Linked DNA regions of Rattus norvegicus. The protein of the gene in region 2 interacts with the protein of the main gene of each other region in a pairwise test. Links are inferred from orthologs where the notes say so. Each region holds a gene or a part of one and is shown on either strand. Other genes may lie near its edges. The genes, in order: Plscr3 and Stk16.

The links.
Region 1: the proteins of Stk16 (region 2) and Plscr3 interact in binary tests that used the Homo sapiens proteins (3 or more experiments, as listed by UniProt). The two-hybrid records come from large-scale screens. The link is inferred for Rattus norvegicus from reciprocal best matches to the Homo sapiens genes STK16 and PLSCR3.

Annotation. Positions count from the first base shown.
Region 1 is NC_086028.1:55,064,261-55,068,658, reverse strand, and holds the start of Plscr3 (phospholipid scramblase 3), read right to left. Parts: upstream 3,055-4,398; 5' UTR 2,993-3,054; intron 2,783-2,992; 5' UTR 2,621-2,782; coding exon 2,614-2,620; intron 2,353-2,613; coding exon 2,114-2,352; intron 2,031-2,113; coding exon 1,988-2,030; intron 1,886-1,987; coding exon 1,665-1,885; intron 1,482-1,664; coding exon 1,320-1,481; intron 1-1,319. UniProt on the Homo sapiens protein: Catalyzes calcium-induced ATP-independent rapid bidirectional and non-specific movement of the phospholipids (lipid scrambling or lipid flip-flop) between the inner and outer membrane of the mitochondria.
Region 2 is NC_086027.1:84,152,833-84,157,126, reverse strand, and holds the start of Stk16 (serine/threonine-protein kinase 16), read right to left. Parts: upstream 2,843-4,294; 5' UTR 2,648-2,842; intron 2,462-2,647; 5' UTR 2,373-2,461; coding exon 2,287-2,372; intron 1,756-2,286; coding exon 1,536-1,755; intron 1,249-1,535; coding exon 1,115-1,248; intron 967-1,114; coding exon 846-966; intron 720-845; coding exon 624-719; intron 263-623; coding exon 141-262; intron 32-140; coding exon 1-31. Other genes in the region: Glb1l (beta-galactosidase-1-like protein precursor), read left to right, coding at 4,275-4,294. UniProt on the Homo sapiens protein: Membrane-associated protein kinase that phosphorylates on serine and threonine residues. In vitro substrates include DRG1, ENO1 and EIF4EBP1. Also autophosphorylates. May be involved in secretory vesicle trafficking or intracellular signaling.

The DNA.
Region 1 (4,398 bases), on a different chromosome or scaffold from region 2:
TGACAGGCCGGCAGACAGCCTCTGAGGACTGTGGCTCTCACTGGCCTCTTGGAGCTCAGCAATAACAAGCCATGGAAAACTGAGTGGTATCTCGGTGACTTCCTGGTCCAGTGACTAGAACTGAAGTAATTTCCTTCTACATCCTGTTCATCCTCGTCCTGCCTCATCCTGCAGCTGTAGGGAACTTCCTGCAGCCCAGTTCCAGGCTCCACAAAGTCTAGGGCCGACAACTCCGCAGCTCCCAGAGTGTGGCTCAAATATGGACCATTCAAGATTGAGTTCAAGGGACACTGACTCCCTGAGAGCCCTGTAACACACACACTCCCACCAGAGATCACACAATTATCTCCTCTCCAACCGGTTCTCAGCACAGAAACTGCCTCTGACTACCAAGGTGACTCACTCTTTTAAAGGCAACCTTAGGTGAAGAACCTCTACTGGAGGAAACTTGTTGTTTCTCCCTTATCAGAATGGGAAATCATCCCTTAAAGAGCTCAAGGATCAGAGCAGCACCGCTGCCTTCGAAGAGCCAGAGCTCCTCACCTGAGTTCCCCTGGCTCTGGGTTGGTGAGAGGAAAGCCTTCGTGAAAAGGACATCACCTGGACTTCAGGTTGGATGGGTCCTTTGGACTTCTAGGCTTGCAGGACAAGCCAAGGGTTAAATTATGAAAGGGCCTATGCTTACAGATAGGCACAGGGCTACCTGGGTCCAGCCCATGACAAACTTAAGCAGTGAAAGGCTGGGAGATGAGACTCCTCCACTTTAGGTCCAGGCTGGCCTCAGATGCTCCCCTAGGCCCTTGCTGGGCGGTAGGGAACACTTCAGCCTTGGACTGAAGAAGAAGAAGAAATGTTTTGGTTTCAGACAGGATCTTTCTATATAGTCTTGACTGTCCTGGAACTCACTAAGTAGATGTGAATTCAGAGATCTGCCTGCCTCTGCCTCTTGAGTGCTGAGATCAAAAGTGTGCGCTGTCATGAGGGGTTTTTTTGGTGTGCTTTTATAGGCTCACATTATTGGGTGGAAGAAAACTCAAAACGTAGCAGGGGTCACAAGAGATCGGGAATGGTAGGATTAAGGGTCTTGACCTTAAGCCATCCATTAGCATGGAGGCTATTGCCTCCCCCCCCCCCATTACATTGATTGATGGGTTGGTTGACTGTATGCACCACGGCGTGTGTGTGGAGAGGACAGTCTGCAGGAGTTGATTGTCTTCTTCCACCGTGTGGGACTCATGGCTACAGCCATCTCATCGGCCCCCATCTTGGTTTGTGAAGAGTCTAGAAACCAACCCCCCCCCCCCCCCAATTTATAATACCTCAAAGTTGGTGTCCGTCCCACAGCCACAAGTGCAGCAAGGCCCTACGACTCGTAGAACAGGTTGGCGATCTGCATCCAGGATGGAAAACTTGGGAATGAAGGGGTGCCAGGTCTGTAGCACATGGCCAATGGTGGTGCCAGGTGGGGCCTGGACTTCCATCTGGAAAGGGAAGCAGACAGGTCCACTGCCAAGCCACGGTACCTTGGCCAGCGCCCTATATTGCTGCTTGCTGTCTTCTGACTGATCAGACACTCGACCGCCCCGACTCCTCCTAAAGCCACAACTCTTTCTGGGCCGCTTACCACACTGCCCACCGACCACCACAAAACCTGTCATGCCCACCTCCTGAAGACCACAAGGACAGCAGCTGCAGCCGCAGTGAAGTGGGCGGAGGAGGCGGAGCACCTCGCGGTCCCCGGGGTCCGCTAGGCGGATACGAAGCGGCCGGCGGGCACCACAGCACAGCCGGGCACAGCAGTTGCTCTCCTCAGCTGCCTGACCCAGTTGCTGTCCGGTCCCGGAGCGAAGTTCATACCTATTACAGGTCTCCCAGCCTAGGAACGCTGTGAAGGGGAACACGCTGAGGCTCAGGGGCCTCACCTGCCCAGAAACTCACCACTGTCACAAACATCATGAAGCCCAACTTAATTCCACCTCCTACTCACTTTCCACTCGCTCAGCCTTCTGATGAATCAAGATTTGATCAATCTGTAAAGTGTTAAGAGCAGCGTTGACCTCATTCCTCACCTCGAACATCAGTCCTCCTCCCAGCCATCCTCTCTCCCACTCACCTGCACTAGGAATTCCAGGCCAGAAGGCACCCCTGGCAATGGCACGAAGGGACCAGGAGGCCCTGGGACCACCGGGCCTGGCGAGGGGAAGAGAGAGAAGCCAGGCGCAGGGGCAGGCCCCTGGGTGGGCACTGGAGCCTGTCCGGGTCCAGGATGCAGCGCCGCCGCCTCTGGATACCCAGCTGGCACGGGGTAGGGAGGTGGGGGCGAAGGGGCATAACCTTTGGGGGGCAAGTAGCCTGCAGGGGAGCAGGGGTAGATTAGAAAGTTACCTGTGTCCTTATCCTCTTTCTCAGCCCAAGGACCAGGAGCACCCGCGGAAAACGTAAGAAGAGGCAGAGAATGATGGGGCGGGGGGGGGGGGCAGGGCGGTGGTTTCCCAGGAGGAAGGGAGGGCCCCACGCAGCCAGTCTGAGCACATTCCTGGAGAATGTGTTCGACACCCGGCACCCAAGTTCGTGAGGGGGGATAACGGAGACCCCAACCTAGAGCCAACGTACCTGCCATGGGAAAGGGGAAGGGTGTCTTGGGCTGTCGGCGTAGGGGAGGCTTAGTTCTGGAGTGGGGACAAGCTTGGGAACAGCCAGACAGGCACAGAAACAAAGACGGACAAGCAGAGGCGAAGAGGCAGCTGCGCCCAGCACCGGCCCAGGGTCTCTTGGGAGGCACCTATGAAATCGAAAGTGTCAGCGGGCGGGGCGGGTTACCCAGGACCCTGAATTTCCTTAGGGGCCCCAGGACCGCCCCCTCCCTTTGTTCTCCCATTTCTTTTTGCGGAGATGGCTGTGGGCAGACGGCAGAGCAGTTGAACCTGAGGTCAAACAGATGACCTGACCCTGAGGAAAGTCTCCTTAACCCCTTTATGGTCCGGGCGCTCACCTGAAGCCCCCAGAATAAGAAAGCCGGGGGGGGGGGCCACGCACTCCCGGGCTCACAGGCGCTGGTGGAGGCGGGCCCAGATCTGACCCCACCCCCGGGTCGCCTAAGTCCCACCCCCAATCCGGGCGGGGCGACTGCGCAGAAAGCAGGCGCTTCTCCTCCCCCGGGGCCGCGGACCTTGGACCTTGTGCGCCTCGTTCGCCCTGGTCCCGCCCCTTCCGCTCCGACTGCAGAGGCGTGGAGACCTGGGCTGTCGGAGGGTGATTGCGGCCCTATCCCCAGCAACAAGACCCTCGCCTTTTCAGCGGGTGGCGGTTCTGCCTCCCCACCGCGTGGCTGCTCCGGACCCCGGGATCCTCCTCCCAAGGGCGGGTCGGGCCTCGCTGACGCAGCGGAACACTATTCACACTCCCTCATTGCCTTCCAGAGTTGGCTTGGCAGTCTTCTATCTCAGGGCGACCTCGCTGTGTTCTCTCCCTGTCACAGCGTTGACCCACTCAGTCACCTCTCAGTTCAGGCGCGCCCATTACACGCGTGACAGGCTTTCAAACGGTATCAGTAATGAATGTGCATGAGGTAAGGCTCAGGGAAAAACACTTGAACAGAACAGGCCCCTCCATTCCTCTGCATGGTGGCAAAGCTTGGAATCCCAGCATTTGGGAAAGGAGAGGCAGGAGAATAATTACAAGTATGAGGTCAGTCTGTTCTACATAGTTCCAGACCAATTCAGGGCTACAATTGGGGGGCTTTCTTAAAAGACTCCCTTTCTCAAAAGAAGAAAGCAAAGTATCTGGGCAGATGGGGTGGATCATGGGTTCCCGGTCAGCTTGGGAGTGACCTGGGTCACTAGGGGAGATATTAAAGAAACAAAGCCCAAAACAGCCCACCACTTGTGCCTGGGTCTTACATGCTACCAATTATATTTCCGTGCTTGGGATGCAGACTAGGGACTCTGAGAATTCTAGTTTTATTGTACAGCCAAAACAGCACTGCTGTGTTAGAAAAACCTAGGAGGCTGTAGGCAGGCAAAGGTAAGGAGAAATCTGGTCATAATGTGATGGATTGGACCAGAGACCAGGGCAGTGACGGTGGTCTTGATGTGCATCTGAGGAAACATGACTTCATTGTGCCTCAGAGACAGGATGTACAAAGAAGAAAATGAGCCTCTGAGGCTTCTGCACAGCATAGACCCCTATCCCTTGCCCTGCATTGCCCCATCATTTACAGCCTGCTCATGCAATCCCTGGCTTCAGGTATTTTGCTGTCTCTATTGACCCAGCACCTCTAAGATCCCGTTGTCTTCAGACACATCAGAAGAGGGCATCAGATCCCATTACAGATGGTTGTGAGCCACCATGTGGTTGCTGGGAATTGAACTCAGGACCTCTGGAAGAGCAGCCAGTGCT
Region 2 (4,294 bases):
GGCCAACAGCTGTCGCAATGCTGAAGAATGCCTGTGGGATGGGGAAGGCAGAGGACTGGAGGACACCTAGAACTGCTAGGATTCCAACTCGGCTGGCTCTAGGCCAAGTCTACAATGCTCAGTGTCCTCTTACTCCTCACCTGGGGCTTTGTGGGATGCTGAGGTCATTCTGCACAGCAAGGGCCACACTGTCACCTTTCTGGAACACCATATCATAAGGGCCTTCCCCAAACATCATTGCATAAAGCACACAGCCTAGGGACTGAGCATAATTTGGTTAGTTCCTGGAAGGTGAAAAATGGCATCTCTCTCCTTATTGCTATGGTAAAAGGAGACCATGTAAGCTAAAAATATGCCAACCTCGCTCCAAGGAACCATGTTAGCAGGAAGGAGGTCTGTGTGCCCCTGCTTAGCCAGTGCCTCTAGCAGTTCAGCCACAGTGATTGCACAGCTTCCTGAGAACAGTGTCAGTGATGGTTCCCAGGAAGGAAGTGGACGGGTATGGAGACATACTGTGGCTCTGGGGTTCCATGCAACAGAAACCAAGTCTCCTTCCCTTTAATCCAAAATAGTTACAAAGCCACACCCCTCTCCACCCAGGTTCCCACCCACATGCTCCTCACCCAGACATCAGTCCGCTCATCGATGACACAGTGGCTTTGCACAGAAAAAAGTTCAGGTGCCCGGTAGGAGATGGTGCACCGCTGGGCTGCCCAGTCCTGGAACAGTGTCCCCAGAGCTCAAAAGTGGAGCACAAGCCATATCATGTGACCAAATTGGTGCATGCATCAGAATGGTCTGGGGATGGGGAGGAGATGGCCAAAGAAACCTGGGGACTCTCTTACCTGTAGAGCTAGGGCCTGGCGAGATCCCTCCACTTGGATGCATGCTTGATTCATAGAACCCAAGTCCATTAAAACCGGCTGCCCCTCATCACCAAGCAAAATATTGGTGGGCTTCAGGTCCCTGGAGGGAAGTGAAAATGACCCAAAGGCATCCTGGGTAGGTAGGCTGGTATCCCAGGGAGCACCATGAAGAGAGTGCAGAGAAACCCCACTTCTCTTGGCATTGCTCTTTCCCCTGGCTTCAATAAGTGTAGGGCCCGCCCACTGACCTGTGTGCATAACCTTTGGCATGAATGGCCTCAAGGCCTCTGCAGATACCCAGCAACAACGGAAGGATTTGGTCTTCAGTCAGGAAGTTGCCTTGGTCCTTCAGCCTTTCTATCTCATTCCACAGTGTACCTCTCTACAACACAAGTTTTCCGTGTTGAGACATTCTGAAGCTTCCATTTCCCAGGATTCTATTTTGTGTTGAAGTCTGTCAACCCTTTTACCACATACACTCTCACTGATCATTTGGGGCTATGTGTGATGTCAAGTTCATAGGGGATCCTATGGTTCTCTGAGCCCCAAATATAAAGTGGCCAAAACCAGGGTGTGTGTTCCTAGGGTATTTATATTTGACTGCCCACAGAGCCCTTGGTGGGGTTGTACAATGCTACAATCCCCTCTATAACCACAAGCTTTTCTGACCTTGAAGAAGGGTAGCAGCAGCCAGGCTTCATGCTTAGCACCTCGTTCTTTCAAAGAGTAAGCCATGAGGCGAAGGATGTTTGGATGCTGGAAGAGGCGATGCATGTCTGCCTCTCGTTGGGCCTCTTCCTGGTCCTGCTGCTCATGACACAGGATTCGCTTCAGGGCGTAGAAGTGTCCATCATGTAAGCCCTCCACTAGGTCCACGTAGCTGAACCCACTGTGGGCCAAAGGGGTCGATGAAGGACCACGGTCGTCTCCCATATGGCTTAGACCCCGAGAAATTCCCTTAGGGAAGGGTGCCTCTCACATGGAGTAGAAACCCTCCCACGATGTAGTTCTCATATAGTTTCAAGACGTTAAGGTCTGCCATCTTCAAGAGCAGGGGCACAGAAATCACTGAGACCCTTTGGTCTGAGCATAAGATGCTCAATTAATTTCAAGTAACAATCAAAATTTAGTAAGTGCTCATGAGCCAGGCACTGGGTGACATGTTTTAAAGAATATACTATCTAACTTAGTTTTCTCACCAGTCCCTCAGTGAGACATTATAATCATCTCCGTTTAAGCAGAAGAAACCAGTTTACTTAAGGTCACACAAAGTAGATTCAGGAGGCCAGGGCCTAGAATACAATTCTTGACCTATTCAGCTAACCGGTCAGGTGAGGTAGAATCTAAGGCTAATACTCTTGTGTCCCTATTACTGCCCCTAAATGACCTGGGTCTAGCTAAGTGACTTCCATACACTCACCCCTCCCCCAATTTCTGGACGAAGAGGTAACGCTTATTGTCAATGATGACAGTTCCCCGGGAACAGACACACAGTGCATGGCCCATAGCGTCTCAGTCATCCTCTTCAAGGATGGTCTTTCTTCCAGGGAGAGTGGGCTCTTCCAGACGATGGGTTGGGGTCCCGGCGGATCATGCTGGAATGAAAACAGCAGGTCGCGGGTAAAGAACAATCCAGACAGCCACTGAGATACCAACCAGTAGAGCTCAGGTTCACCTCCGAGAACCCAGATTCACATCTAAAGAAAACAGTCCCTGGTGACTCCAGCTCTAAGAAGGCTGAGTTCTGGCACCCCAAAGCCTCAGGCCACGCTGTGTCTTACCAGGCCGCTTCCTTCAACCCCGGCCCACCTTCGGCCAGGTCCAGCTCTCACACCCGTGAGGCATGGGGTGGCGCAGTAGGTGCGGGACTCGAGCCCACCTCTGGCCGAGTCCACCCTCCGTCGCTGAGGACCGAGCACAGGATCTGCCAATACAAACTCTTCAGTGACCTGGCTCCTGCCTGTGCAAAGGGCCAGGGACCGGAAGCTACGGTGACATCATCAGTCCGCGTCGAAGTAACGGCCTGCTGTATCCTAGCAACAAGAGGCGGCAAGAGGATGTGGGGACCCGGAAGTGAGAGGCCGGGGCCGGGCTAGACCTGGGGTGGGTTGGTTTCTATATCTCGCCGAGGGTTCCCACTTGCCCTTCAGTAAGGGTCAAGACGCAGGGACTTGTACCAAAGGGGAGCAAAGCAGGGCTCTGCCCGAGTCCCCTAGGACCTCCGTCTCTCAATGTCGGAGGTAGGAGGCCTTATAGCTCCCGCGCGCTGGAGTTAGAAAGTGACTTATTACAATCTAGCTTTGAGGAGGGACCAGAGAAAGGCGGGTGCTGACCCTTAGATCCCTGGAGGTCTGACCCCTTAATACTTTTAGGGGTCTGGCCTGTGTTCCACTACCTGGCCAGTGTCAGAGTGTGCCCTTGAACTAGATGCCAGTTTCTAAATCTGGTCCTAACAGTCTCCTAGCTTTGTCACCTCCAGGAATTAGTCTTTCAGATCCGCATGTTTCCCAGCTGTAAGTCAGTACCTACAGCAAAGTGTTGTGAATTATGAGGCCAAAGTGACTAGTTCAATCCCAGCTCTACTGAACTAGTTGTGACTTTGGACAGTCACGTAATATTTCCAACCTTCATTTTCCTCGTGTGTAAGATGAGAATGAAAATCATTTCATGGGCTGTTTCAAAACTAAATGAGATGTCTTTTGTACAGTTTTTGAAACATAGCCTTCAGTGTGTGTTAATAAACAGAAATTATAGTATTTTCTACCCTGACCCTGAAATCCACTGGTGTGAAGGCAGAAGAAATGGAAAATTAGACTTCTAAGCTTATGCAGTTTTCGTCACATCTCCTGCCTAGACAGACAGGTATATATTGGAAAGGGGTGCGCCTTAAAAATAAGAGTGACCAGAACAGGCTCCTTGTAACCCATTTCCCCTTTTCATAGTCATGATCACCATGAAGATTTTCTGGTTTCCACTGTTTCTGAATCCGTTTTGACCCTACTGCTACCATTCATATAGATTTAGCCTGATTTGTGCCAGATCCTTTGCTAGTCATGAGGACATAAGACGCCGTTCCCGCCCTCCGAGAGTTCAGCGTAGAAGAGCAAGCTTGTTAAAGTACAGACTTTAATTCTACAGGTCTGGGGTAGGACCCGAGATTCTGCGTTTCTAACTAGCTCCCAGGTGATGCTAATGGAGTTGATTCGGGTTCAGCACTTCGAGAAGTAATATATAGAGGATTTTACAAACTAGTGGATGGTGGAAGGCTACGGGCAGAGTCCGGGTTAACTGGCCTGAAAACTTGAGGTGGTCTCCGCCCCTTTGCTTGATGAGGTTCCCTCCCAGGAATCCGACACGTGACGGGTGGGAAAGCCCTCACTGAATAGAAGAACTTTGTAAGGTCCGAAGATGCCACCCGACCTGCCTTC